7 linked regions of the Macaca fascicularis genome follow. The protein of the gene in region 5 purifies or fractionates together with the protein of the main gene of each other region. This does not show direct contact. Links are inferred from orthologs where the notes say so. Each region holds a gene or a part of one and is shown on either strand. Other genes may lie near its edges. The genes, in order: TRIM33, SMARCC1, USP15, SMARCC2, SMAD2, SKIL and KAT2B.

The links.
Region 1: the proteins of SMAD2 (region 5) and TRIM33 purify together in Homo sapiens (affinity purification with western blotting; 7 studies listed by BioGRID and IntAct, with this or other methods). This does not show direct contact. The link is inferred for Macaca fascicularis from reciprocal best matches to the Homo sapiens genes SMAD2 and TRIM33.
Region 2: the proteins of SMAD2 (region 5) and SMARCC1 purify together in Homo sapiens (affinity purification with mass spectrometry; 3 studies listed by BioGRID, with this or other methods). This does not show direct contact. The link is inferred for Macaca fascicularis from reciprocal best matches to the Homo sapiens genes SMAD2 and SMARCC1.
Region 3: the proteins of SMAD2 (region 5) and USP15 purify together in Homo sapiens (affinity purification with western blotting; 4 studies listed by BioGRID). This does not show direct contact. The link is inferred for Macaca fascicularis from reciprocal best matches to the Homo sapiens genes SMAD2 and USP15.
Region 4: the proteins of SMAD2 (region 5) and SMARCC2 purify together in Homo sapiens (affinity purification with mass spectrometry; 3 studies listed by BioGRID, with this or other methods). This does not show direct contact. The link is inferred for Macaca fascicularis from reciprocal best matches to the Homo sapiens genes SMAD2 and SMARCC2.
Region 6: the proteins of SMAD2 (region 5) and SKIL purify together in Homo sapiens (affinity purification with western blotting; 8 studies listed by BioGRID and IntAct, with this or other methods). This does not show direct contact. The link is inferred for Macaca fascicularis from reciprocal best matches to the Homo sapiens genes SMAD2 and SKIL.
Region 7: the proteins of SMAD2 (region 5) and KAT2B purify together in Homo sapiens (affinity purification with western blotting, with the first as the bait; 3 studies listed by BioGRID). This does not show direct contact. The link is inferred for Macaca fascicularis from reciprocal best matches to the Homo sapiens genes SMAD2 and KAT2B.

Annotation. Positions count from the first base shown.
Region 1 is NC_088375.1:119,977,358-119,981,412, reverse strand, and holds part of TRIM33 (E3 ubiquitin-protein ligase TRIM33), read right to left. Parts: intron 3,905-4,055; coding exon 3,752-3,904; intron 2,307-3,751; coding exon 2,256-2,306; intron 2,177-2,255; coding exon 1,964-2,176; 3' UTR 1-1,963. UniProt on the Homo sapiens protein: Acts as an E3 ubiquitin-protein ligase. Promotes SMAD4 ubiquitination, nuclear exclusion and degradation via the ubiquitin proteasome pathway. According to PubMed:16751102, does not promote a decrease in the level of endogenous SMAD4.
Region 2 is NC_088376.1:110,703,490-110,708,228, reverse strand, and holds the start of SMARCC1 (SWI/SNF complex subunit SMARCC1), read left to right. Parts: upstream 1-1,498; 5' UTR 1,499-1,594; coding exon 1,595-1,789; intron 1,790-4,739. UniProt on the Homo sapiens protein: Involved in transcriptional activation and repression of select genes by chromatin remodeling (alteration of DNA-nucleosome topology).
Region 3 is NC_088385.1:69,325,081-69,329,135, reverse strand, and holds part of USP15 (ubiquitin carboxyl-terminal hydrolase 15), read right to left. Parts: intron 4,036-4,055; coding exon 3,844-4,035; intron 2,975-3,843; coding exon 2,859-2,974; intron 2,682-2,858; coding exon 2,409-2,681; intron 2,022-2,408; coding exon 1,951-2,021; intron 1,568-1,950; coding exon 1,452-1,567; intron 798-1,451; coding exon 648-797; intron 1-647. UniProt on the Homo sapiens protein: Hydrolase that removes conjugated ubiquitin from target proteins and regulates various pathways such as the TGF-beta receptor signaling, NF-kappa-B and RNF41/NRDP1-PRKN pathways.
Region 4 is NC_088385.1:62,971,402-62,975,456, reverse strand, and holds part of SMARCC2 (SWI/SNF complex subunit SMARCC2), read left to right. Parts: intron 1-589; coding exon 590-675; intron 676-1,720; coding exon 1,721-1,802; intron 1,803-1,895; coding exon 1,896-1,988; intron 1,989-2,898; coding exon 2,899-2,968; intron 2,969-3,209; coding exon 3,210-3,279; intron 3,280-4,055. UniProt on the Homo sapiens protein: Involved in transcriptional activation and repression of select genes by chromatin remodeling (alteration of DNA-nucleosome topology).
Region 5 is NC_088392.1:41,926,804-41,930,858, reverse strand, and holds part of SMAD2 (mothers against decapentaplegic homolog 2), read right to left. Parts: intron 3,525-4,055; coding exon 3,390-3,524; intron 1-3,389. UniProt on the Homo sapiens protein: Receptor-regulated SMAD (R-SMAD) that is an intracellular signal transducer and transcriptional modulator activated by TGF-beta (transforming growth factor) and activin type 1 receptor kinases.
Region 6 is NC_088376.1:81,886,145-81,890,199, forward strand, and holds part of SKIL (ski-like protein), read left to right. Parts: intron 1-615; coding exon 616-709; intron 710-3,581; coding exon 3,582-3,814; intron 3,815-4,055. UniProt on the Homo sapiens protein: May have regulatory role in cell division or differentiation in response to extracellular signals.
Region 7 is NC_088376.1:28,279,967-28,284,021, forward strand, and holds part of KAT2B (histone acetyltransferase KAT2B), read right to left. Parts: intron 3,643-4,055; coding exon 3,528-3,642; intron 1,976-3,527; coding exon 1,939-1,975; intron 1,698-1,938; coding exon 1,634-1,697; intron 1,538-1,633; coding exon 1,453-1,537; intron 1-1,452. UniProt on the Homo sapiens protein: Functions as a histone acetyltransferase (HAT) to promote transcriptional activation. Has significant histone acetyltransferase activity with core histones (H3 and H4), and also with nucleosome core particles.

The sequences.
Region 1 (4,055 bases), on a different chromosome or scaffold from region 5:
TAAATAATTTTCTCCCTCTTATAAAAAAACTTTTCCTAGGAATTTAAAATTTGAGTAAAATGTTTAAACAGTTTGGTATATTTTCAAAGGCTTATTTTTAAAAAATTGAAAGTGAAGAGGAAGCCAGGAATAAAGTAAATCAATAGCAATAATAAAATCAATACTCTTTAAATACACAACCAGGAAGCCTAAATCATATTCCTATTTACCCCCACCCCTTGTTAAGAAAAGAAAAACAACCCAAAGGAATTTGTATAATAATTTCTTTAGAGCACTTTATTTGATTCAATATGCACTAAAAAATATTGACCTCTTAGACAATTATGTGAAATAATTTTGAGTAGTCTACTCTCTGAACTGCTTAAACTGAATTTTTAAAAAGGCAAATAAATGATTTGCCACAAAACTGCTGATTTCTGAAAAATATCTAATGGCAAATTCTTCTATTTTGGTCTCTGTATATTCTAATGTGTCCATACAAAAGTAGGACTAAAATCTTTAATCAAACAAAAGAGAAGCCTGTAACATTGTAGAACACACATTTTGAATCTGAGCATCACAAATGAAGAAAAGAAAAATGAACCAGAGCCAAGTTGATTTATCTGCCTCGGGTGCTGTAATTGGGGTGGTAAAGGTGGGTTTACTCCAGTAACCATTCAAGTGGGGATTGGCTCATTTTCAGGATTTACTTACAGGTCTCTTCTAAGTCCTTTAAGCCCCCAGTCCATGCAAATGTCCCACTTGGTGGACAGATGAGTAATCTAACCCCACCGGGTTTATTTCAATATTTCAATATCTCAATAATAAGCTGCTTCTGAAGATTTTTTGAGAAGTCTGTTCTCTATTAAAATAAGATAGAACCTCAAAATATGAATGTGAACATTAGAAATAGACAGAATATATTACAAATCCATTCTTGATAGGAACATTAGTAAGAATACACATTAGCTTAAAAAACAGGCTCAGCAAATGTTGCTGATCTGCCAAAAGTTTTAGTTCACTATTTACAAATAAGACAAAGTGAAATACAGAAAATTTTACACATTTGGTAGTTGACAGATACTGTTTGCCAATAGTGGTCTATCAGAAAACTGACATGAAGGAAGACTGGAAAAGAGCCAGTTGTCACCTTCTCAATCAAATTTAAATGTACAGAAAACTAGATTAATTTTGAAACAAACATTCTGCCTTTCATGGGAATAACTGTATGATCACATGATTTGATTGGGAAGTACAATTGTAAGTGTTTTCTGGAAATGACTACTATAACTCTAAATAATCCACTAATGAAAAGTTACCATTTTTATTTCAGTAGACCATTGAAGTTGATTAAATGATAACTAGTGGTCGTGTTTCCTAAACCCTAAGTATGAGTAGAAAATAAAACCACTGCTGAGTTCTTTATATCAATTTAAAAACTAAGACCCAACAGCATAAAAATGAGAAAAAATATAATGGCATGATTCAATGCAAATCTGCACTGACATTAAAGTAGAATCTGAGCTACTTGGGTTTTCAACTAGAAAACAACCTGATATGTATGTGTGTGAAGAGAGAGGGTTAAAAGTTGTTTTAATAACTGTGCGACCTAGTCCAAAAAGAAAATTTATCAAGTGACACGAGCCTCAAGTATTTACTCGTACACCAAGTATCCTGCACCAATCAATAGCACACAATCATCAACATTTGCCATTTCTAACAGAGAATCACCCTCATTAGAACAGAAATCCTCACATCATTTCACTTTTGCTTTTTGCTTTTAAAGTTGCAAACAGAGTTCTCTCCCCCTTTCTTGACAAGAATGTGTTTCTGTCCATTATTTCAATCTAATACTGTGTAAAAGCTATCAGCTTCTTCAAGGAGGTGCCCACTGTAGGCAGGATATTCCAGCAACACTTAAAAGTTTTCTGGGTTGTTTTTTTGTTTGTTTGTTTTTTAACAATTGATTCAAATCCATGTCATTTTACTTTATATGTACTGGTCTCTCATCTGACTTTAGGCGTTTTCTGCGGGGCTGTATAAAGTCTTCATCAGAGTCCTCAGTTACCTCACCATCATCCTCTTCCTGCTCAAACTCTGGCAAAGGTGCGAAGGTCCTGTCTGAGTAGATCTCTGTGAGTTTATCTTCAAAGTACAATGCAACTGCTTTCCCTGCCTGAGCTACTTCTGAATCAGCCTGCAAGCAAAAGATAGGAATATTCACCTATTGGTAATGCATATTCCTTCACCAAGTTTGCATGGTCTGAAAAGCTTACCTTCAAATTAATCTCTTGTGTGTCTGCATAAACTTGAACAACTTTCATCATCTAAAAAGGATACCAGAGTCAAAAAAAAAAAAGGGAAATTATAATCCTTTCTAAAGTTATGAGACTGTATAGGATTGGCGACGAAAAGTCAGCCATACTAGGGAGAACAAATTGCTATAACCAGATAAAGTGCTTTTCTAAAATTCTACAGAACATGGAACCATTTTCTTTACAAAGCCCTGTTACTAAAGCTACTGTGAAACCTCAGTAATTGTCTTATTTTGAATTATCAAGGTCAATCTGAATAGGAATTGGTCTGAACACATCAATCTATTCAAGAGAAAAATATTTGTGAAGCAAATTATATAAGAAACCTTGCTTTTAAAAAACTGACACACTTTCAATAAACCACTTAATAAAAATTATATCTGTATAGCAATATGTTAATCATAAACTATTTAACTATTACTGAGGCAGGTAACATGGGTCTTATCAACTATAGTTCATGAAAGCATATCTATTTGAAAATAATTTAACTACACTGAAAAATAAGACAAAATTTGGGACTAGTTTCTAAATTTAACTTCAAATTAATGAGATTTTACTAATATACTCTGTGCCATACTGCTATAAAGGTGACTTAGAATTTTCACCTTATGAGGATTTTGTTTTGTTTTCAATTTTAAAATGCCATCTGGATGCTTCCAGAGGTAGTTACGGGAATACGTTACAGGATTCAATGTGATTTATTTTAGTAATAATCATATGGCACCCAAATTACATCAGCAATAAAAAGACTTTAGTATTAATCTTTTAAAAGATTTTGTGGATTCTCATTAAATTCCACTTTCTTCTCATGAAAATCTTCCATAATAATAACAGAATTGATTTTATCCCTAAGATAATAAAAACAATTTTCCTGAAACAGGTATATATCACATTTCTTCTCAAGGTATGGCTAATTCAACCTTACCCTCAAAAAAAACCAAACCAAAACAAAACAAAAAAAACTCCAAAAACCAAAAAACATAACCAAAATTAATGAAAGTCACACTGCTGAAATAAGAAAACTCAGTATCATATACTCTGGGCCACTATTCAAGATAGGTCACCAGAGATTAGTTTAAGGTTCTACATTTATGTTGTCAATAATAAAATGCAAGGACAAGGGTACAGATACTTTCCTAATTGTACCCAAAATGTAAGCTGTTTATAATCATATCCCACGAAACATACTTAACTACGGACAGTACTTTCCATACTTATGCCAATCCTCAACTCATTTAGAAAAAGTAATATTCTTAATGTATTATATTTAAGTATATACTCCAAATTATACACAATAAATTTTCTTCACTGGAGCTGTTAATACAATCAGATGTTTAGCAGGACTACAGCAGAAAAAACAATTTTAATAAAACTAAAGTCTTTCAGCAGAAAAAATAAAACAAGGAAACTAACAAAAACTAACAAATCAAGACTCTATAGGTTGGAAGTTAACATACTTCATTAAACCTTTCACAGTTCTTGAAGATCAAACGGACATCAGCCACAAAGTCATCTGGGATTTGGTAGTGTTGGGAATGTTTTTTCTGAAGCTTCTTTTTCACGGTGGATAAATCCATTGGTTTCTTTATAATTTTATAGTAGTTTGGTATCTAAAATAAGCAAATAATGGCAAATAAGAATTCTCCAAAAATGCCAAACTGTTTAATTTGAAAATGCATAGCATATTAATTTTAGGGGAAAGAAAGTTATTATAGAGCCAGCTGCTTGCAAATTTTGATACAGACATATGTACTTTACATC
Region 2 (4,739 bases), on a different chromosome or scaffold from region 5:
GAGTAGCTGGGATTGCAGGCATGCACCACCACGCGTGGCTAATTTTTGTAGTTTTAGTAGAGACGGGGTTTCACTATGTTGGCCAGGCTGGTCTCGAACTCCTGACCTTGTGATCAGCCCACCTTGGCCTCCCAAAGTGTTGGGATTACAGGCGTGAGCCATCTCGCCTGGCCCTCCTGATCACATTCTATTCATTTTTTTATTTAATATATTTTACTGTCCGTGACACAGCCCTCAGGAGATCCTGAAAACGTACATACCCTCATTTTTAAAAGGTCTCAAAACCTTATCAGCAGTTAGTCACTTTCTCATAAGCAATTAGTTACTTGCTTCTCTGAGATCATATAGCATTATGTTCACAACTCCATTATGGCCAGTCGTACTTTTTGAAACAGGGTTTTGCTCTGTCGCCCAGGATGGTGTCGTGAGTGGCGCGATTATAGCTCACTGCAGCAGCCTGCATCTCCCCAGCTCAAGCGATCCTCCCACCTCAGCCCTCCAAGAGGCTAGGAGCACAGGCTTGCAACACAATGCCCGGCTGCTTTTTGTACTTTTTTGGAGAGACGGGGACGGGCGTGGCGGTCTAGAGCTCCTGAGGTCAGTCGATCGTTCCGCCTCAGCCTCCCAAAGTGCTCCACGCCCGGCCAATCATACCTTGATAATTTAAAAATTTTCGGCTTCTATATGGGCCATTCATTAATTCATCAAGTATTCACTGTACATGTATTCATTGTCTCAGGTGTTCAGGATACACCTGTGAACAAGTTAAGATTAGGTTCTCATGTAATTTATGTGGAAGGTAAATGAGAAACTAAAAACACCGGGTCATGGTAAGCGCTACGCAGAAAGTGTATGGGTGTGAACAGTTCAAGATTGTAAGATATGACAACGGCTTTCTGAAGTCCTTTGAACCAGTGAATCTGAACGCGTCTCATAAGTGAAAATCAGAAGGGAAGACCCGCTGAGGTCTCCGAAACAGCCGATGCAAGGGCCCGTGGGGGCAGGAATGAGCCGCTGTGGCTGGACCCCTGAGGGAGTGGAAGGTCTGTGAAGCCGAAAAGCCTTGGCGTGGGCGTCCCAGATGGCTCTTCCCAAATGCCGCCGGGCCGCTGGGGGTGGAGGGTCTAAGGGAAAGCCGGGCCCGGCGCACTCGATACCCTAGGCAGGCTTTCCCCTCGGCACTTCTCGCACCAGACCTTTTCCCTTCAGCGGAGGCAGGCTATGACACAGAATCAACCTGCGGTTGTTAACCGCATAACGATTCGACGTCGGTAGCGAGGGAAGAGCATGGCTCAATAACCGGCACTCACTAGGGGAGAACGGAGCCTACAGAGGCTGGCGGAAGAGGCGGCTGGACGTGCTAGTCCAAGGCGCGCCCGCACGAGTGCTGCGCATGCGTATGCGCGGGCTCGCGTCGGATACGGCGCCAGTCCCGAGAGGGGGCGGGGCCGGGCGTCCGCACCGGAAGGGGGTTGGCTGGGCGGGGCCGGGAAGCGGCAGTGGCGGCTACGCGCGCGCGGGCGCGCGCGGGAACGAACGGGAAACACCGCGAGGGCTGGGGTGGGCCAGGCTGTGGGGACGACGGGCTGCGACGATGGCCGCAGCGGCGGGCGGCGGCGGGCCTGGGGCAGCGGTAGGCGCCACGGGCTCGGGGGCCGCGGCGGTAGCCGCAGGCCTAGCCGTTTATCGGCGGAAGGATGGGGGTCCGGCCACCAAGTTTTGGGAGAGCCCGGAGACGGTGTCCCAGCTGGATTCGGTGCGGGTCTGGCTGGGCAAGCACTACAAGAAGGTGGGTTCGCGCGCCCATGGGGGCCGGGAGACCACGCGACTGGGGCCGGAGGCGGCATCTGGCCTCGCGGGCCTCGGGCCTCCCCTCCCCCCCGCACGCCACGAGGGACAACAAAGGCAGGCGCAGGGCCCGCCACGCCCCCGCCGTCCGCTCTGGGCGCCCGCGCGCCGGTGGCCTGACGGGTCAGGCGCTTGTTCTTGTGAGCCCACGCACCCCTGGCGAAAGCCCCTGCTCAGTCTCGTGTGCCAGAGCAGGTCGAGCTCAGCCACTAGGCGAGTGTGACTCTCTTTTGTCAGCTGCCTTAGGTGTATGAACAATGATCCCTAAAGACCGAGCAAGCGTGGTAAAAGCAGCTTCAAGTTTTGTTTAGAGAGTATTCAAAGTCTCGAGGGGGTTTGCTACCTGTTGTTGATTTGCTAAACGACTGGGATGATTGTATTCGTTAATTACTAACAGGTAATGTGAATTCTAGGATGGATGAGAGCTATTAACGACGGTTTCTACCTCATTGTGCTTCTGGTTCTGTGTGGCGTGAGAGTTAATGTTCACTTGTACGTAAAGTGTTCTTCAGGGAGGCCTTCCGAGAACCCAGTTTTTATTAGAGCACTTTTCTTATGTCACCTTTATTTTCTTCGTAGTGTTTACCACATTTTGAAATTAGTCATTTACTTATTTATCCTACCTTTGGAATGGAAGTTCCGCCGAGTCAGTAGTTTTCAAAGTTTTGACTTAATCCCTTGTTTATAACATTTTTTTTTTCTCCAACTTCCCCTTTGTGTAAATATTCCGGAGAACTCCCTTAAAGGGTGTAATGAAGCAGGTAGTCAAAAAGGCTCCCCAGCCTCTGAAGTTTTCCTATCACCCTCTTTAATTCTGTACTTTCTCCTATTGAGGATCATAGCACTGAAGAAAGGGCTTTGTTCACTACAGTGTATCCGGGAACGTGGCTGATACTTAGTGCCTTACCCTTAGTAGCTGCTTAGTAAATATTTGTTTAATGAATGAAAAGATAAACTAGGAACCTATTTATTTGGCCTTTACAGCTCAGTGAAGCCTGTCAGTGTTTGGCAGTTATTAGGCATGGGCAGGGATCTTGGGTTCCTTTGGCATTACACGTGGTACATTCGGAAATGACCATTTCTGGCCGGGCGCGGTTTGGGAGGCCGAGGCGGGTGGATCACCTGAAGTGAGGAGTTCGAGACCAGCCTGACCAACATGGTGAAGCCCCGTCTTTCCAAAAAATACAAAATTAGTCGGGTGTGGCAGCACACGCCTGTAATCCCAGCTACTCGGGAGGCTGGGGCAGGAGAATAGCTTGAACCTAGGAGGCAGAGGCTGCAGTGAGCCGAGACCGCACCATTACACTCCAGCCTGGGTAATAGAGTAAGACTCTGTCTCAAAAAACAAAAACAAACAAGCAAAAAACAAACCCCAGAAATGACCATTTCTTTCTTTCTTTTTTATTTTGGAAGTTCAGCTGGGAAAAATTACATTTCTTGTCTGAAGTTTGAGGAAGTGAGAGACAGTAATTATATTTTTAGGTGCTTGGACCCCCCCCCCAAATTACATTTAGACTCTAGATGTTTAGTAATATTGCCCTTTCTTACACAGTGATAAATTGGTCACTTTTTATTTTATTTTATTTTATTTTTGAGACGGAGTCTCGGTCTGTCGCCCAGGCTGGAGTGCAGTGGTGCGATCTCCGCTAACTGCAAGCTCCACCGCCTCCCGGGTTCACGCCATTCTCCTGCCTCAGCCTCCCTAGAAGCTGGGATTACAGGCACCCACCACCACGCCTGGCTAATTTTTTTGTATTTTTAGTAGAGACGAAGTTTCACCGTGTTCGCCAGGATGGTCTCGATCTCCTGACCTCGTGATCCGCCCGCCTCGGCCTCCCAAAGTGCTGGGATTACAGGCGTGAGCCACCGCGCTTTTTAAACGTAGGTAATAGAGCTTCCAGGAGTGGCTAGTGGGATTGAATATGTTATGAAAATATTGGTTAATTCTTTCTTATTACATTCCTTTTAGCCAATGCTTTGGGTCTTAAATTCAGTGAAGCTTTAACAAAGAAAAATAATCTAGAGATGTTCCTTTGAATATCAAGGAAGAGAGTAGAAAAAGGCAAATTTCAGTAATTTCTACCTCTCCACACTGTTCAGTGTGCATCAGTTTGGGACCAACTACAAGAAGCTTTAGGTGTGGATAATCATCTTCAGATATTTGTTTGGGTGGGTAGGGAAGTGGCTACAAAGCAGTTTGAAGAATTGCCCAGTAGTATTGAGACCACTAGGCTAATGTTGATTCACTATCCCTGAGACTTTATAGACAAAGTTGTCTTTGACTTCTCAGGACTTTGTAAAGCCAGAGTGTATTTCTGTGGTCTACTGAGATTGAGAATCATATATGCCCTAGGCCTGACAGCCAGAATCTTTTCAGTCTCTGGGTGTTAGTGTCGAAGTGGTGAAAATATTATCAGAAGGTTCTTTGCTTCTTTTCTACACAATGCATTTCTATTTGTGTACACATTGGTTTTAACTAACCGTTTCTAGTGCATGTAATACTGCATTTTCAGAGCAGACAACAGTTTCAGTCTCAGTAAACATGATTTTGCTAGTGTTGTTTTTTATTTTTATTTTTATTTTTTATTTTTATTTTATTTATTTATTTTTTGAGATGGAGTCTCGCTCTGTCGCCCAGGCTGGAGTGCAGTGGCGCAATCTGGGCTCACTGCAAGCTCTGCCTCCCGGGTTCACGCCATTTTCCTGCCTCAGCCTCCCGAGTAGCTGGGACTACAGGCGCCCGCCACCTCACCTGGCTAGTTTTTTGTATTTTTATTTTTATTTTTTTTGAGACAGTCTCGCTCTGCCACCCAGGCTGGAGTGCAGTGGCCGGATGTCAGATCACTGCAAGCTCCGCCTCCTGGGTTCATGCCATTCTCCTGCCTCAGCCT
Region 3 (4,055 bases), on a different chromosome or scaffold from region 5:
GTCAGGAGTTTGAGACCAGCCTGGTCAATATGGTGAAACCTTGTCTGTACTAAAAATACAAAAATTAGCTGGGCATGGTGGCAGGTGGCTGTAATCCCAGCTACTTGGGAGGCTGAGGCAGGAGAATCACTTGAATCCAGGAGGTGGAGGTTGCAGTGAGCCGAGATTGTGCCATTGCACTCCAGCCTGGGCAACAGAGTGAGACTCTGTCTCAAAAAACAAACAAACAAACAAACAAACAAACAAACAACAAAAAAAAAACCACCAAGAAAACCCAACATATTTAGAAGTAAGTGATGAGTAATGATGAAATAATTCCTAGATAAACAAAATTACTAAGTACCATAAAGTATCTTAGATTTATAAATGAGACCAATTAACCCATAGGTAATATAACACAAAAGGAGTTTTATTGTTTTTAGTTTTTAAAAGTATATTTCCTCTTTGGTCTTTGGAAAATCTCTAAGAAAAAATAAAAATTTTGAAACACTGATCCTTATAAATTGTTAGAACTACTCAAAAACAAACTTGAAAGCTGAAATTGGATCCAATGGCACCTGATATTTACTAAAGGATAATAACAAAAAGCATCAAGTAAATTTGAAAGAAGAGTTGCTCAATACTTATAAAATACAATTAAAGCTTACTTGATAGGGAAATCAACTAAGGTATCCAACTTGTCTCTCATGTATCGACTGTAAGAAAATCGCTTGAGATGTACTACAAGTACTGGAGGCAAGGACCATAAATCCAATTTCTTTGTGGCTTGCTGATGTTCTTTACAATTCGGACAATACCTAAGAATAAAGAGAAGTATTTAAAGCTTGATAGAGGTACAAACAACCCCCATTAATGAAAATAACAAAAAATGTTCGGAAAGTTCTACATTTATTCAGTGGGCAATTATCGTATGCCTAATATGTACCAGGTTGAAAGCAACTCTTGTTATTTTTATTTTCAACACATTTTCCAAAAAGGTTAAACCATTATAAATTAATATACAAACCAATATTTAAAGACATAATGAGGGCTAGATTATTTCTCTTTTAGTATGCAAAAAAGACATCTGTGCTGGAAGATAGGTATTAGAAAATCTCAAAACTGGGCTCTAATGGAATAACATCACAAAATATATCACTACACTTTTCCTAAAAAGCTTCTCTCAAAATGATTACGTAGCTAAAATTTCTTGGAAAACAAGTAACTAAAATGAATTATTAATAGTATAATGGCTATTAGGAAAAACACAGTAATAAAATTAAGGCAACACTGTAACAGTATTTTTTAAGAACTTCCTATCCCTCTTAAAAGGCTACCACTTATATAAAGAATCCTTTACTATTTAAAACATCAAAGAGAATTTAGTAATTACTTTTTCAAGTTAATGTGGCACGTATCTCAGAATAAACCCTTAAAGAAAACATAAACAATTATTTAATTTTGTCTCTTACCAGGGATCTTCAGCACCTAGCTTTTCTTTTGTTGTAAAAAGTTCAATGCAATCTTTTAATTTCACAAAGGGTTTTTTAGGAGGTTTATACTCCACACTTTCATGTTTTTCAAAGTCCTAAAGAGAAGTATTTCTTGAGTTAAGAGAACAAATGAAACAAAACTCATTTTAGTGGTACCATCTTACTATGAATAATAATGAAAACTCCTAAACTTTCTCAAAAGAATCATAAAGCTTATTTCAGTTGAGATTTATATCATACTTCTAAATAATTCCTGTACACTCCTATATGGATGAGCAAAACATGTTCAAAATGAACTCTGAACCTTTGGGGAAAAAAAGGTATTTTTGCAAAGACTTTCTTTTCTAGTTCATGACCACTTTTTTACTGGCAAAATGAACATTTGGTGGAAGCAAAGAATGTAACACAACAGTATGATTATCTCTGGTAATCACATAAAGTAAATCAAGGAAAGGTAAATAAGTGAGTGATGACTTACCTCAGCAGCATTTTCATCAAAATATCGTTTTTTCAAATCAGGATCCCAATCCAAAGCAAGAAAAGATCTTTCTAAGGTGGAAAACATATTTTTTCTTTAAAATTTAATATGTCTTAGTATTAAAGTATATTTTAATGTTAGGATATACACTAGAATAAATAAATAGCAATCTTTTCTACTTGTACAGGTGATTAGGGCAAATAGCAGTTTCCAAGCCATTGAAATAATTTAAAAGTTTAAAAAAAGATAGAAAACTTAAGCATGAATTCAATCTCCATTTATGAAACACAGACACACATTTTGGTCTACTTAGATATTAAGTCCTTTCATATAAAATTTGAGATAGAAAAGTAAATGGTGTATTTCTTGACAGGGCTGAATTTCATGGTTTTCACCTAAAAAACAAAAAAACATGCTCTGCTTGTTTAATGTTCAAGCCATTTTTCACAAATACTTACCATCTAGCCTAAGCTGCCTATCATCAAATCTTATATGTCTGGTATCATCTTTGATGTAGTTGATATCAGTATTGCCTAAGTTGTTGAACTGGAATGTAAACAATCGTTTTTTGTGTCCCGTGAGTTGACCTTTGCAAGTGTCCTCAGTACATAATCCATTTTCAGAATCATTATCTCCTCCAACTGAATCTTCAGACTGACTGTTTTCATTCTCTGAGGGAAGTTCTTGATCCTGGCTGGATTCATCATCTGGCTCATCTGTTTCCATTTCACCTAATTTTAGATATTAGAGAACTTTAAATAAACTCAATGTTATATTTTTAAATTATTAATATTATTAGTCGTAGGTTTGCAGGTATTTTTTAGCTCTTTAATTCCCATTTTCTTAACTTTCTCTCTGAAGCAATTATTTAAGTGAAACATTTTTATAATTTAACAGAAAAGTCTTACTTGGTGAGCCTTCTTCATGTATGCCATTTGGGCCATTCCCATTAATATTTTGGTCCTTACAGCAGTGTAGGGATCCTTCAGTTTCTTCAGTTTCAGTAGATATTTTGACATATCGGCTTAAGTAAAATCAGAAATCAAACAAGTTCAGTACTACAAAGATAAAAACTTTAAAAATGTTTTCATTCTATCAGTAAAACAAAACTTTTTAATGTAACAGTGGTCACTTAGTAGATTCAAGGTTAAAATCAAACTTACAGTACCATACATATAGCTGACTAATAATTTGTTTTGCTCCTCTTTATAAAAATAATTAGTACGTTACCTTTTAGGTTAAATGTTAAATATTTGTTGCAAATAATTTCTCAACTTATCCTCATTTAGATGGTATATATTGTTGCTAAAAACACTTATTTTTGTATAATGTGATCTTTACATATGGGTTATGAAACCATAATAATTAGATATGCAAGAAAGAATACTAAATATATCAGCTTTCAAAGATAAAAGGGATCAAATGACATTCTTGATAACTTTATAATTCAAATAAGGGGATTTAGGAAGGCAAAAAATAGGCTGCCTTACAATACTATTAATCATGAATTGGTAATGTATATAAAGAAATGAAGCATTTGACATTTGTCATTTCACAGTGCAAACATATAGCATTTGACATTTGTTATGATTTCACAGAACAAACATGTAACACATAATTATTATAACATAAATTCCTATTTCCTTCCAACTGTAAACTTTTGGCCTAAAATTGCTACAGACTTCATGCTTCCTGGGTTTGAAATTACCTCCATAATGTGTTTTACGTGAATAAGAAAGTGGATTAGGACTATAATCTGACTATAAACAAAACTGAGACAATACAGACTTGTATAATTATATTCTGATAGTACCTTGTGTGTTTATTTTTATTAGCTATTTTATATTTTATTCCCATATTTATTTTGTCAATGTAGAATTGTTTGGCACTTACCACATTCTCAAGAGCAGGAGATTATAAAGTTTGTCTTCAGTATTGTTTCGTGGTACAGCCATAAGAAAAGGCTGACCAAAAAGTGAAGAACCAGTATGGTGGGTATAACTTGAGTGTCTGAATTTTTCTCTTAGGCAAACAGGAATAATCACATGCTCTGTATCTTCTGTCCTATTGATGTTAATTTCAAACCTACAAGGACAAAACTGACC
Region 4 (4,055 bases), on a different chromosome or scaffold from region 5:
ATTCATGAGTCTTGGTTCCTTCATCTCTAGATGGGATTAGTAAACCTACCTTGTAGGGTTTCTATAATGGCACCTGAGATAATCCAGTAAAGTGTTAGCACAAGGTGGTGCTTTCTGTATATTGGTTTCTTTCACTCCCCTCTTGCAGGCCACATGATGCAATGGCACAAGGGTTAAAGAATTTCAGCTTTGAGCTGGGTACGGTGGCTCACGCCTGTAATCCCAGCACTTTGGGAGGCCGAGGTGGGCGGATCACCTGAGGTCTGGAGTTGGAGACCAGCCTGACCAACATGGAGAAACCCCCCCTGTCTCTACTAAAAATACAAAATTAGCCAGATGTGGTGGTAGGCACCTGTAATCCCAGCTACTTGGGAGGCTGAGACAGGAGAATTGCTTGAACCTGGGAGGCAGAGGTTGCAGTTAGCCGAGATCGTGCCATTGCACTCCAGCCTGGGCAACAAGAGCAAAACTCCATCTGAAAAAAAAAGAGGGAGATCAGTTCAGCATGGGATTTTGTGAAAGGATTTTAAGTGATGATAGAATTTACAATAGAACCTTGACATGCTTCTTCCGTACCTTGATTTTGTAGATCAAATGTTTCCTAGATTTCAAAGCGGGAGGCTCCTTGTGCCACATTCTTGCAGCTGCCTACAAATTCAAGAGTGACCAGGGATGGTGAGATGATTCTCTCTATTCTTCTTACATTTAGTTTAGAGGAAATCCCTCCTTTTGATTCCCTGGGGTCTTTCTGGGGTAGAAATTCTTGTGAGTCTTTATTTTGCTGGGTCAGTAGACCTGACTTGTTAGGTCAGAAAAATGGTTGGGAGTCAGAGCCAAAACAGTCGCCAAGAGTGAGTGTGTACTCGAGTATCAGTGTGTGTTTTGTAGAGGAAAAGGGATTCTTAGGTTGGCGTCTGAAACCTTTTTTTGTCCCTTTGGAGTAAGCACAGAGAGTGATTCATGGAGTTGAGATCAGTGAACCTCAGATCCCAGGTGATTTTGGCAATAGCTGTAAGCAAGCTTGCCTCCTAATTTCCCATATTAAGAAGTCATGACTGGGTGCAGTGGCTCATGCCTGTAATCCCAACACTTTAGGAGGCCGAGGTGGTTGGATCATTTGAGGTCAGGAGTTCAAGACGAGCCTGGCCAACTTGGCGAAACCCCATCTCTACTAAAATACAAAAATGAGCTGGGCATGGTGGCGGGCACCTGTAATCTCAGCTACTTGGGAGGCTGAGGCCGGATAATGGCTTGTAAAGGGGAGGCAGAGGTTGCAGCTAGCCAAGATCACGCCAGTGCACTCCAGCCTGGGCAACAGAGCAAGACTCCCTCTCAAAACAGCAACAACTACAAAAAAAAGGCTGGGTGTGGTGGCTCATGCCTGTAATCCCAGCACTTTGAGAGGCCAAGGCAGGTGGATCACCTGAGGTCAGGAGTTCGAGACCAGCCTGACCAATATGGTGAAACCCTGTCTCCACTAAAAATACAAAAATTAGCCAAGCGAGGTGGTGTGTGCCTGTAGTCCCAGCTACTGGGGAGGCTGAGACAGGAGAATTGCTTGAACCTGAGAGGCAGAGGTTGCAGTGAGCCAGGATCACACCGCTGCACTCCAGCCTAGGTGACAGAGCAAGACTCCATCTCAAAAAACAAAAGTCACATGCCCTCACCTCATCTGCAGACCTGAGCTATACCACTCACTAGATTATTGCCTCTTCACAAGGCGGCGTTACGATTTCCAGAATCCATCACGCATGGACCGCAATGTGGAAATGTTTATGACCATCGAGAAGTCCTTGGTGCAGGTAATAGGCATATCCCCTATTTATCTCCCTTCCCTCAGTGAAAATCTAAAACACTCCTTTCCCGTGATCTCATTCTATTTCTTTTCTCCACAGAATAATTGCCTGTCTCGACCTAACATTTTTCTGTGCCCAGAAATTGAGCCCAAACTACTAGGGAAATTAAAGGACATAATCAAGAGACACCAGGTAAATGGTCTGATCAGGAGAGGTTTCAGAAACTCCATGACTCTTTTCCTGATGTTTTCTATACCAAGCAGCAGCCCTGAACTACCATGTTTTCTGCTTCAGAGGTGGCTCTGTCTACTGGGAAGACTTGAGTTAAAGCCTTGAGTCTGGCCGGGCGCGGTGGCTCAAGCCTGTAATCCCAGCACTTTGGGAGGCCGAGACGGGCGGATCACGAGGTCAGGAGATCGAGACCATCCTGGCTAACACGGTGAAACCCCGTCTCTGCTAAAAAATACAAAAAACTAGCCGGGCGCGGTGGCGGGCGCCTGTAGTCCCAACTACTCGGGAGGCTGAGGCAGGAGAATGGCGTGAACCCGGGAGGCGGAGCTTGCAGTGAGCTGAGATCCAGCCACTGCACTCCAGCCTGGGCGGCAGAGCCAGACTCTGTCTCAAAAAAAAAAAAAAAAAAAGCCTTGAGTCTGTCTTTTTCTGTCTACTTCTCCCATTTTTCAGTCCTGACAGGTTTGCATTACTGTTCCTAGAGACTTATGTTGGCCTGGGGAAAAATAGTATCCACTTCTATTGAGCTAGAGATTGCTTGATTTCAGATAAATGAAATCCCTGCTCTTTAGAACTTTATAATAATGAACAGATGTCATTGATAAGGACGTACAGTTGACTTTAAATTTCCCATGTGTAGATTATCTGTTCAGAGGATTATTTGTAGCAATTTTTAATTCTTTGACTTTTCTCCATTATTAGCACAATCCCAGCTGTTTCCCTCTGCCACTTAGCTGGTGTGTGCTTAGAGAATGCAAACTAACTTTAATACTATTATAAGCAAAATATGATTAGGAAGGCAGCTCTGTGGCTAAACCTTGAGTAATTCAGAGGGGACCGTAATTTACCTGCTTCTCCTTGTGCCATCTAGGGAACAGTCACTGAGGATAAGAACAATGCCTCCCATGTTGTGTATCCTGTCCCGGGGAATCTAGAAGAAGGTGAGACCTGGGTTTTCCTGGCCACTTGAGTGGATGGTTTGGACTAGGAGGCAGAGGACTAAGATCACCATTCAGTACCTGGGCTCCTCTTCTTTCAATCTTGAATCCTCCTAACACCTTAAGTTCCTATTACCAAGTCCCCTGCTACAACAGGAGAGTGCATTAGTTAGGGCTTATGTACAGTATTTTTTTTGTGTCCCTCTTTAGCTTATATCTCTCCCTTCTCTTCCTCTATCCCCAGAGGAATGGGTACGACCAGTCATGAAGAGGGATAAGCAGGTTCTTCTGCACTGGGGCTACTATCCTGACAGGTGAGGATGGGTTCCTGGGGCAGGTTTAAGTATAAGAGCCAGACCCAGAAGCCCTGGAACATCTAGCAGAGCAAGAAGCCACTCGTTCAGAGTTATTTTTAGATCACTTAATTTGTTCTCCTCTCACCTATTAAGTGAACCTCAGTCTTGGGGGAGGTTTGGACTTAGTGAACAAGCCTTGGGCTAAAACAATTGAGGCTTTATGTATGAATTGATTATCCCCACATAATTTTTGATAAGTAAATGTTAGAAACAATCTAAATGTCTAACAGTAGGAAAATGTTTCAGTAAATTTGTATATCTACTCAGTGGGCTATTATGCAGCCTCCAAAGTGATATAAAATAACATGGACAATTTATAAGTGAATATTATTAATAGTTGCAAAAAGCAGCATGTAGGCCCGGCATGGTGGCTCACGCCTGTAGTCCCAGCACTTTGGGAGGACAAGGCAGGCGGATCACCTGAGGTTAGGAGTTCGAGACCAGCCTGGCCAACATGCTGAAACCCTGTGTCTAAAAAAAAAAAAAAAAAAAAAAAAAAATTAGCAGGGCATGGTGGCGCACGCCTGTAGTTTTAGCTACTCGGGGGGCTGAGAAGTAGTATAATCGCTTGAACCCGGGCAGCAGAGGTTGCAGTGAGCCAAGATCACACTGCTGCACTCCAGCCTGGGCGACAGAGTGAGACTCTGTCTCAACAAAGCAAAACAAAAAATAGCACATAGGCTGGGTGCAGTGGCTAATGCCTATAATCCCAGCACTTGGGGAGGCTGAGGCGG
Region 5 (4,055 bases):
TCAGGATCTTGTCCAAATTTTGCAGTGAATCCTTAACATCTACTTTTAATAAAATCCTACTCTCTGGACATATACATTATTTACATATCTCGCTCATTCCTGTATGTACATATTCTGTGACAAGAGCCAAAAATGTAACTTCAAAAATGCCCCAGATCTGAATCAGTAGGCTGCAAAACCACTAATAACTACAATTTTTTGTTGTTGTTGTTTAATCTAATGAACATCGTTATTTTATGAGTACTTAGAAAATAAAAAACACACACAAGATTTTGGATTATAAAAGTATTAAATAATACAGCTTACAACTTATACTAAGTTCTATAGGGTAAAATATGGTAGTATGGTTCCAGATTGGTCCAGACTGAATTCTACCTAAAAAGTATATTTCTCCAAGGATTCCCAACTGGTAAAGTCTAAGTGTTTGAAGCAAAAAATTCAATTCAAATATAGACTACTGTATAAAGAGGTAAAATGCTCCCCGAAAATAAACTTTAGGATTCTAACATGTTATTTCCACCATGTTGTCTGAATAAAACATTTATATTCAGAAAGGCATCTGAATAGCTGAAAACACTGCATGTAAAATAAAAACATGTATACAATTACATCAACTGTAATTCCAAGGAGGAAAAATAAGTTCAAAAGAGTTTCATCAGTTCAACATTTACACTGCTGAACACTTCTGAGCAACTCAAGATAACACAGACACATATCCAAACAGAATTTTAAAATTATCAAAAGACAGAGGCCAGGCACCATGGTTCACACCTGTAATCCCAGCACTTTGGGAGGCCGAAGTAGGCGGATCACCTGAGGTCGGGAGTTCGAGACCAGCCTGACCAACATGGAGAAACCCGTCTCTACTAAAAAAAAAAAAAAAAAAAAGAAAATACACTATTAGCCGGGTGTGGTGGCGCATGCCTGTAATCCCAGTTACTAGGGAGGCTGAGGCAGGAGAATCATTGAACCCAGGAGGTGGAGGTTGTGTTGAGCTGAGATCACACCATTGTACTCTGGCCTGGGCAAGGAGCGAAACTCCATCTCAAAAAACAAAAAACAAAAAACAAAAAACAAAAAAAAAAGGAGAGAGGGAAGATACAGGTTAAGGGTCTCCTTCAATAACCTTTTACAATATCTATTCAATAAGCTAACCACAAACTTTAAGTATCAAACTTTTCATTTAAGTGTCAGTACCCCAAAATTTTTAATACAAAAATTCTAAGAATAAACTAGCTTCATATATGCAAACAATAAAGAACATAAAAATAAGTGTATATATCATTACGTATATTTTAAAAGTTAAAGCTAATAAAGTTAAATGGTGCTAAGCTTTTTGAGTTTAACCAGTATCTGAAAGATCTAATCAGAAAGAAATGCTGAACCTTAAAATACGTTATCTTACTGCACTTTTTCCATTGTAATAAATAATAAAGCTATTAGCATTTTTGAGAAAACGTTAAAATGTATTTTAAGTGGAATAAAACATGAATCCTTTGGTTTTGCTGTTGCTTGAAACTGGATAAAGCCCCACTGTCCAGAAAAGCAAATGGGTATAATCCACTTCTGATTTTCTACTTTATAAAATACTCAAATCTAAATAATTAAAAGAATAAAAAAGACAGGAAAAATGAGCCCAAACATCTTCACGAGTGAAAGCCACTAAACATTTTGGTGAATATCCTTCCAAATAATTACTGGATATGCATGCTGTAAGACTGCATGCTTATACCTAAGGTTAGTACTGTTGGCTGAAAAACGGTAATCTCCACACTAACGACTTAAAATGCCTCCCTTTCCCCACACCAACGTTCACTAAACTCCACTCCCTTTCCTACCTGGCAACTGCCCTGTTTCATAGTCCCACGTTTTCCCTCATCCTAGTATATCACACTATACCCCACCTTCTCCCTCTCTTAACTTCAGTAAGTTTGTATTTCCTAGCAACCCAAAAAGCAGCTTTAAATCCTCTTCTGGAATAAAACAGTAATCAAACTAAAACAATCAAAAACCACTTCCCATCTGTAAAACTAGCTATTAAAAAAAAAAACTTATCTTTCTTAGTTATCTTTTCTTATCTTTCTTTTTTTCTTCCTTACATTTTAAAAATTATCTTCAATGCGGCCGGGCGCGGTGGCTCAAGCCTGTAATCCCAGCACTTTGGGAGGCCGAGACGGGCGGATCACGAGGTCAGGAGATCAAGACCATCCTGGCTAACATAGTGAAACCCCGTCTCTACTAAAAAAATACAAAAAACGAGCTGGGTGAGGTGGTGGGCGCCTGTAGTCCCAGCTACTCAGGAGGCTGAGGCAGGAGAATGGCATGAACCCGGGAGGCGGAGCTTGCAGTGAGCTGAGATCCGGCCACTGCACTCCAGCCTGGGTAACAGAGCGAGACTCCGTCTCAAAAAAAAAAAAAAAAAAAGAAAAGAAAAAAAAATTATCTTCAATGCATAAGCATTATTTCCATGATGGATACATGAAAGAAATAATTGTTTAAATGTATTAAAACTGTATTTTAAAAATTTTGTAAATGCTCTTAAGTTCCTTACATATTTTTAGTGTATAAAATAAGAGTGGAATAGAAGAATATTACAAAAGGAAGAAAGAAATCAAGACACGATAGCTTAATCTAATCCTCATCCTAACATCATGCTGTTTCTGCTAGGGAGAAAAATCAATCAAACAAAACAAAAAGGAAAACATACAAGAAAAGTAACAAAATATTAGTCGTTCTCCAAAAAAAAAACCATAAAAAACAGAAAGGCCAGATATCGTATCGTGGAGTATTACTGAATCACACAATACATCAGAACAAAATTTGAGAACCATGTAGCTGAATTCATTTTTCATCAGGAATCACTAAGATGCAGACGAAACATAATGAAAAGAGGTTTTCTGATGTTCAGTATAATATGTAAGTGCTGCTACGTCTACAGAACTAAGTATTATATTTCTTACAGAAATGTTACATTTCTGTTAAATATTACCAAGTTACCTAAGAAAAAGTGATCACTGGGTGAATTTTCAGTTACATGTGTTTCAGGGGTACTTTTTTCCTACATCATTTGTTTTGCTTACATTCTGCATCTCGCTTAGCTTCAACAACTAAGATAAACTTACTAAGATCTTTTCTTTTCTGCTTCTCACAGTACTTTGATTAAAGTCACTGCAAAAGAAAATGAAATATAAAGTAAAACTCTTCTCCAAACAAGTTTAATGTACTAGGCTTATACATTTCACAAAATAATCACCCAACAAATCCGATTTTTCTATTAAAAACTCAAAAGCATTTTTAAAAAAGTGAAACCACAATTCACTAATACTTCAATGCTTATGAACAACATTTGTATCTATCCAAGTTTTAGAAGATTCAGAAGTCAAACATACCTGGAATATAATTACTCTGTGGCTCAATTCCTGCTGGGAAGTTAGTGTTTTCTGGAATGGAGTGAGTATAGTCATCCAGAGGCGGAAGTTCTGTTAGGATCTCAGTGTGTCGGGGCACTAATACTGGAGGCAAAACTGAAAAAGTTCAAGAAAGCCTAGTTATGGCAAAGAGCAAAGGGGAGTGGGGGAACCTTTTTTAAAGTTTCAACAAGAAGAAGAGAAGTTGCAGCTTAATTTTTAAAGTTAGGGTCTGACAAATCTGATTACGGCTTTAACTTATGTAGTCTATTATCCAAATTTCCAAGTTCTAATTTATCTCAAACTTTTGGAAACAATGTGATCCTGGTAATATATTACCATAAAAGTTCATAAATCCCCATTGGAAAAATTAACATTGTCTTTATCTGTACAATCAGATATAGAAAAATTTCCAAAAATACAGCTACTGCTATATTTTTTAATAGTTTCAGGTAGACAGCTAACTAAATGAAGCCTTATTACAAGCTTTACTAAACAGCGTATATACAAATGATGTCATTAAAGTACTTCTAAAAGCACTCCAAGTGCAAAATGCTTGAAAATAAGTTACTGCAGCAGGGACATGTAGAGGCACATCAGCACAGCTCTAAGCAGACTGCCAATCTACAGGATTTCCTGGATATGCAC
Region 6 (4,055 bases), on a different chromosome or scaffold from region 5:
CAAAACGAGACTCTGTCTCAAAAACAAAACAAAATAAATAAAGAAAATAGATTTCATAAGTATGAAATTTGTATGAATCATTTCTGGCACTCCACATTAACATGTGTCCTGAAACTGTTCTTGTGATGGGATAGTTTATGTGGGTGTCTCTGAGTTTCAGATGATCAATCAGGCTTCTTCAAGGGAAGACTGCCTTATTGGAAGATGACCCTTGAGACAGGGTCTCACTCTGTTGCCCAGGATAGAGTGAAGTGGTGCAATAACGGTTCACTGCAAGCCTCAACTTCCTGGGCTCAAGGGGTTCTCCCACCTCAGCCTCCCAAGTAGCTGGGACCACAGGTGTATACCACCGCACCTGGCTAATTTTTTTTCTTTTTTTTTTTAAGAGACTGGATCTTCCTGTGTTGCCCAGGCTGACTCCAGGGCTCATGGGATTTTCCCCACTCTGCCTCCCAAAGTGCCGGGAATACAGGTGTGAACCACTGTGCCTGGCATGATGACTCCTAAATAATGTTACTTGTCTTTACTCAGTGGCCCAGTCAGGTTGACACATAAAATGACCTTCACAGGTTAAACTTCAATAAATGTTTCGCTTCCATGTTTTTCTGCAGACAGATGCACCATCAGGAATGGAATTACAGTCATGGTATCCTGTTATAAAGCAGGAAGGTGACCATGTTTCTCAGACACATTCATTTTTACACCCCAGGTAAGTTGGTATTTATTTGTTTGTTCGTTCATTCATTTCATTCAGCAACTGTATACCACGCACTATTCTAGGACATGGGAATTAATTAATTAATTAATTTATTTATTTATTTTGAGATGGAGTCTTGTTCTGTTACCCAGGCTGGAGTGCAATGGCGCAATCTCGGCTCACTGCAACCTCCGCCTCCTGGGATCAAGCGATTCTCCTGCCTCAGCCTCCCGGGTAGCCGGGACTATAGGCTCACACCACCATGCCCAACTAATTTTTGTATTTTTAGTATAGACGGGGTTTCACAATGTTGGCCAGGCTGGTCTCGACCTCCTGACCTCAGGTGATCTGCCTACCTCAGCCTGCCAAAGTGCTGGGATTATAGGCATGAGCCACTGCGCCTGACCAGGAATTTATTTCTTTATTTGCAGGCTTTCTTGTTAATCATAGATTATCTTTGAAAATTCCAAATTATTTTTAAATAAGTCCGTTGGTATTTAATGTATTTTTTGGTTTCATTTATCATTATAGGGAAATTGTAGACGAATTGTGTTTAGTCACTCTTACTAGAAAAAATTCAAAGAAAGAATCTAAAATGAAATTAATTATAAATTGCACTGAATATTTTAAATAACCTTTACTATGTATTTCTATGTGTTTTCTAGAAATAGGTCATTTTCTTTTTGCCCTCAAGTAAAAAATGAAAGTTCTTTAATTTCTTACTTTTCTTCAAGAGGTAAACCAACTCTTCAAGAGTTTGGTGTACAACTTTGATTTTTTTTGAGACAGAGTCTCACTGTGTCACCCAGACTGGAGTGCAGTGGCAGGATCTTGGTCCACTGCAACCTCCGCCTCCCAGGTTCAAGCAATTCTTCTGCCATGGCATCCTGTAGCTGAGCCTGAGCGCCAGCTGCCACTTCCAGCTAATTTTTTTGTATTTTTAGTACAGACGGGGTTTCACCATGTTGACCAGGCTGGTTTTGAACTCCTGACCTCAAGTAATCTGTTGCCCTTGGCCTCCCAAAGTACTGCTAGGATTATAGGCGTGAGCCACCGTGCCCAGCTGCGACTTCAACTTTTTTTTTTTTTTTTTGAGACGGGGTCTTGCTCTGTTGCCCAGGCTGGAGTGCAATGGTGCGATCTCAGCTCACTGCAACCTCCGCCTCCCGGATTCAAGCGATTCTCCTGCTTCAGCCTCCTGAGTACCTGGGATTACAGGCACCCGCCACTACACCCAGCTAATTTTTGTATTTTTAGTACAGACGAGGTTTCACCATGTGGGCCAGGCTGGTCTTGAACGCCTGACCTCAAGTGATCCACCTGTGTCAGCCTCCCAAAGTGCTGGGATTACAAGCATGAGCCCCTGCACCTGGCCTGCAACTTTGATATTTTAAAAAGAAATTCTTTTGAAACTTAGAGCTTTCTTAATAACCACACTTCTCAAAATCAGAGTTTTACTTTTTCAGTAAACGTGCACCCTAGATTTTAAGTTTTTCTTGTTGAGTCCTAGATTTTTATCTACTAGTGTAAATCTGTATTCCCTCCAAGCATGGTGACAAAGAGACCGAGTCTTATTTACGTTTGTACAATCACTACTTTACCTGTTGTATTTGCAGTAAGTCTTTTGAGCACTATTAAACCTGTCGGTTTTCTTGTCCTGTCAGAAAACTGAGATTTTGGCTCAAAAATGTATGTTATTAACAAAGGGGAACAATATAGATGTCATGTACAAAGAAAATGAAATATAAGAGGAGATTGTCTGGAGTTCAGGGGATGGAGTGTCAAGTCTTAAATGGTTGCATCTTTTTGCTAAGTGTTACTCAGAATATATAGTTACAAATATGTAGCTGAAATCTGTTCCACGAGCGTCTCAGATGTGTCTACTGGGCAATTTTATGTGAGTTTTGATCAAAATTGGTAATCTCTTCCATCTTAGTTTTGCATAATATATTATTGACATTTTCTCAAATGAATAGAAAGTAGTGAAGCATTTTAAGAAGATTGCTCAGTGGGGTTTGATATAAGAACTGCCCAGTAGCTGGGTGGCATTCAGAGTGCATATTCTGTCTCTGAGGTATATAAGAAGAGCCCTGGGAGCTCCTCATTGAGCCTCTTGTGAATCAGTCCATAACCTTGCAGTCTGCAACTGAAGCAGCCTCACCAAAGCAAAGAGCCAAGATTCCCTGTTTAGAAGGGTGGTGGGCAAGATAAAGTCCTCCAAAGTAGTTATAGATGATTCTCTTTCTGGAGTAAAACTTACCTGCTCAGAGTTGTTACACAGATGTATAAAGTGCTTAATGCTTATAGTTCTGGGGTGGTTCTGAGGGAAGGAGAAGGGCCTGTGATTTTCTTTCTGAGTATCTTTTTAGTGCTTATAAATTACTTGCCAAGAAGAAAAAAAAAACCCACGAAATTATTTGCAAGCTGGTTATGGTTGCTTATGCCTGTAATACTAGTGCTTTGGGAGTTAGAGATGGGAGGGTATCACTTGAGCCCAGGAGTTCAAGGCCAACTTGGCAGCCTAGGAAGACACCATCTCTAAAAAAAAAATGGGGATGTGTCTTCCCAGCTACCTGGGATGCTAAGGCAGGAAGATTGCTTGAGCCCAGGAGTTAGAGGTTACAGTGAGCCATGATCACACCACTACACTCCAGCCTGGGTTACTTGCAGACTAACAAAAAATCCCTTATAATTTTGTTTGTAATGCCTAAAGTGCTGATTTTTTTCCTGAGAATTCTTCACTGTGACCTTTATTTTCTGAGTTGTAATATTGTCTGTTTTGGTTAAAAAAAAAGTTTAACCACAGAAATGCATGTTACATATTTGATTTTTACTTAATCGTAATATGTAATATATGTCTTGTTTTGCTTTTACTTGTTTTCAGCTACTACTTATACATGTGTGATAAAGTGGTTGCCCCAAATGTGTCGCTTACTTCTGCTGTATCCCAGTCTAAAGAGCTCACAAAGACAGAGTCAAGTAAGTCCATATCAAGACAGTCAGAGAAGGCTCACAGTAGTTGTAAACTTCAAAAAACAGTGTCTTATCCAGATGTCTCACTTGAGGAACAGGAGAAAATGGATTTAAAAACAAGTAGAGAATTATGTAGCCGTTTAGGTAAGTATTCAGAGATTATCTTTCTAAAATTAAATATCTAATGAACACATTTATTCAGCATTTTCAAACAGACTTTTTGTTTAAGCTAAATTTTCAGATAATTAGAGCTTTTACCTTTAAAAATGCTACCCTTCAAAACTCTGGGTGATTTATTTTAATCTCAGTTGCTATACTTTTCTAGCGTGGTGATAGCTCAGGAGACTGAGATAGATACAGATAGGCCACCTGGCCTCAGACTGCA
Region 7 (4,055 bases), on a different chromosome or scaffold from region 5:
GGCCCCAAACTGACACAACTTCCCATGAGGGTTTCACAAAAGAAGCTGAGACAGTCCAGAGAAGAGGATACAAAAATCAGTTAATTTATGGTTAGAAATGGACACAAAGAGTTTTAACATATTTTGCACATAGTGGACAATACTGATTCCCAAATCAGCCTTCCATTCAGAATTCTAGACTGACTCAACCCTACCCTTTATTTTCTTGTACTGAAATAAATAGTGGTAAGGCAGAGAGAAGAGGGAAAGAAAAGCATATAGATGTGTGTCCACTTTAAGGGGTGTAGGCTACTGAAATCATTACTATAAATATATAAAATATTCATGTGAAACATTTAAATGCTATAGAAAACACCTATAAATAACTCAGTTATCAAGGAGCTAATGCATCCCTTTCACTCTTCCTTTTCACATTTTTAATACTTCCATAATTTTTTTTTTTTTTTTTTTTTTTGAGACAGGGTCTCCCTCCAGTACTCAGGCTGAAGTGCAGTAGTGCAATCACAGCTCACTGCAGCCTCAAACTCCTGGGCTCAAGCAATCCTCCAACCTCAGCCTCCCAAGTAGCTGGGGCCTCAGGCGTGTGCCACTACACCTAATTTTTTACTTTTTGTAGAGACAGGGTCTCACTACCTTACCCAGGCTGGACTTCCACAATTCTTAGCACCTGGAATAGATTACAAGTAGAAAAGAGACAGAAGACTCTGGCTCTCTCCAAAAATATGGCCACGTAGCTGATAAAAAGAAAACATTTCAGCTAGCTGTCTGTCACCCCACATGCCAAATTAGTTTAATTTGAGCGTTCTCAATTGATTCAATTAATCATTCATTTTAGCATAGTGTGGGCAAAGCACCAAACTGCACAATTCTACATTTCTGAAGACATCCTTTTTTGTTTGATTTTGGATATGAGACAAAGCTTAAAATAAAGAGTATATACAGTGACACCAACAGTACCCATCAAGGGCATGGAAAATTCAGAATTGTGGTAAGTAGAATTTCTCCCTCTGAAAGGACAGCAGTCAAGTAGTTTAACTTCTTTCATTATTATCTTGAATAATTATGAAAAGGAATACCTATTTACGACAGACTCAAAGCATATCAAGAGGATAAGCTGATGTTTTCTATTTGCACCAAACAGTTAGAATATAAGCAAAGTTATATCTAAAGTACCAGCTTTCATACCTAGTGCTATCTGCAGTTACCCTGGATTTTCTGTGTCTAGTGTCGTTAAGCTCGTGTGGGCTCTAAACGACAGCTGCAGAATGTCTCTAATGAACACAGCCACCCACTTCTCTGCCATCACTGCCCCTCCACGGTGCGTGGAATCCCACCACCCGTCATACACTTCCTACCCTAAACAGAGGAGTACAAATCAACCTCAGCAACCATTTGTCCCCCACACCGCCATCCAGTTTTAAATCTATACTTAGAAAATGTTAATGGCATTACCCATGGGGAACCTTATAACTTCATAATATCCCGGAGCTTCTGTTCTCTTCACAGGTTCCATGAAGGGCCAAGCGCTTTGATGGCTCTTGGGTAAAGAAAAAAGTAAGGTATCTAATATGGAAATTCCATGTGGGAAATCATTTCAAAATATTTGCATGAGGTGAATAAAGAGGACACCCACCTTCACCTGCTGGAGGATGCTCTTGAGCGTGCTGTAAAGCTGGTCAGGGTCTCTGGGCTCTTTACTTGAAAGGAAAAAGGGAAACAAGGAGCAATGATTAGATTTATACCCTATTGCCAGCTGATTACTATTCAGCTCATTCTTACAAAAACCTAAAATTGGAACCATTCCAGAATGTTTTAGGAAACTCAAAACCCACCAACTGTTGTGTGAGTGATTACAATTAGTTTGCCCATTTTCTTTAAGTTGCTGGGTGGGGGGAAAATAATCACTTCCATTAACATCCTTTTGCCTGTCATACTTACCTTTTCTCTTTTCCACTCGGTTTCCAGCCTGTCTCTCCTATAGGTCAACAAAATGAAACACTGAATGAGAAGTGCTTTTGGTCAAGAGAGTCACATAGTTAATACTTATCAAAAACAATAAATTACAGGCATGCCTCAATAAAAATCTACTTCTGAGAAAAGACTGAAATTAATGGCAATTAGTTACTTCCTTATACCGCTAACAATATAAAACATTTCCAAGACTAACAACACTGCCCCATATGTTACTGTTTTTAAAGCAGGAACACCAACCTTTCAGTGGAGAGCATAAAAAATAAATATGTACAGTACTGTGGGCATGTGTATTTTTTAAACTGAAAGTCAAATGTTTTGCAGATGACCCTGTAAAAGAGTTAAGCTGTTATTTTAGGTCAGAACAAACTCTGTCCTGGTCTCTGTTCTATTTGGCTAAGGCCCCGCTTGTAATGCAAGAAAGTTTAGTGTAGCAGATAGAAAACAGCCTGGAGTCTGACAGATCTGGATGTGATTTCCTGTTCTTTCCTTAAAAGGTAACTCACCCTAAATAAGAGTAAGTTGTCTCTCAGTTTATCGATCTATAAAACAGAACCCTAAAAATCAGGTGGTTTTATCCCTATTGAGAGTAGTTGATGTACCAAAAAAAAAAAAAAAAGCACAGAAAAATGTGTGGCACAAGTAGGCATTCAATGATCTGGTTGCTATTATGTCATTAACAGAGATAATACATGGAAGGAGAATTTCTGGATTTAGCATAAAAGTAAGATCTCCCATAGGGCAGATGTCATAAAGTGATATATCTTGCCAAAATAACATTTTATTTTTTCTGGAAAATTTTTGCTTGTTTGATTTTGGTTTTTTTATTAATGCTTGAATATACTAAAAAGAACTTGGATTTGAACTGAATAAAATTGCCAAATGATATTCAATGGCTTTTGACCTATAAAAACAACTATTTGGTATGGTTTAACCCAATACAACTCAACTCTAACATACAGCCAAGAACCCTTAGGAAAACTACTGTAAAATAGGGAATATGAAACACGGTATACAATTTCCATCACACATAACAAATAATATTTTTTGGAAGTTTGGGGAGACTAGTTTAGTCAAGCACAGACCTTGGAGGTTAAAACCCTGGTGGCAATGAGACACGGTGCAAACAGTAAGTTGTTTGGACATCAGAACTGGGCTGCTTCTAATTCTGACCGTTACTGGCTATGTGCCCTTTAGCAGTAAATGATCTAACTGCTTTGGAACTCGATTTCCCCATTTATAAAATAGGATTCCCTGCTTTCAAGGTTGCATATGCGTAATAATTCGCACTGTGCTACAAATAGCAGACTCTTAATAAACAGTGGATATTAACAGCTATTACAAGGGGGCATCTAAGCTCCCTTTGGTTTGTTTGTATTGGGTGGTAGGGAAGACATAAAACGATGACATTTGCTGCCTTTCTTAAAAGACTAGAGATAACACAGAGACAGGCAGGGCAATATAGCTTTCCAAGTTACTGCATTCTGGAAATTGTTTCAAACACAAATCACACTATTACTAAAAAATTTCGCTTTTAAAAGAAGGTCTATACGTACTAATTCCAGGAATGCTTTCTATAGGAATCTGTCGAACTCCATCTTTAAAACATGAAAGTCCAGGGTAAACTTTTCGAATCTGTGCCTGTTTTCTTTCAATCAGTTTTTTAATTATCTGTGAAGCACAAGAAGGAAATGTGTTTAGGGAAAGAAGTCTATGGATACAGTTCAAGTCAGTCACCCTAATGAAATGTTTTCCTAACAAAACAGTCTTTTTTATGAAACGAGATGGGAGAAAGGGGTGAATGCTATTTAACAGGTAAGAAATGAACAGATTATATTATACCATGTCTATTTAGTGACATTCACAAAAACATCTTTGAGTTACTTGTCCCCGCCATCCAGAAAAGCCAATATTGAGAAAACACACAGCCCCTAGGGCCCACTTGTCATCTGTAGCATAACACCCAATTATTTTGCCCTGCCTCTCTGAGGAGGCTCTGCCAGAATCACAGGAAAGCAGCCCTGAGCATTCACTACTCAGTCAAGTGACAGAATCTCTTCACATCCATAACTAGGAACTGTTCC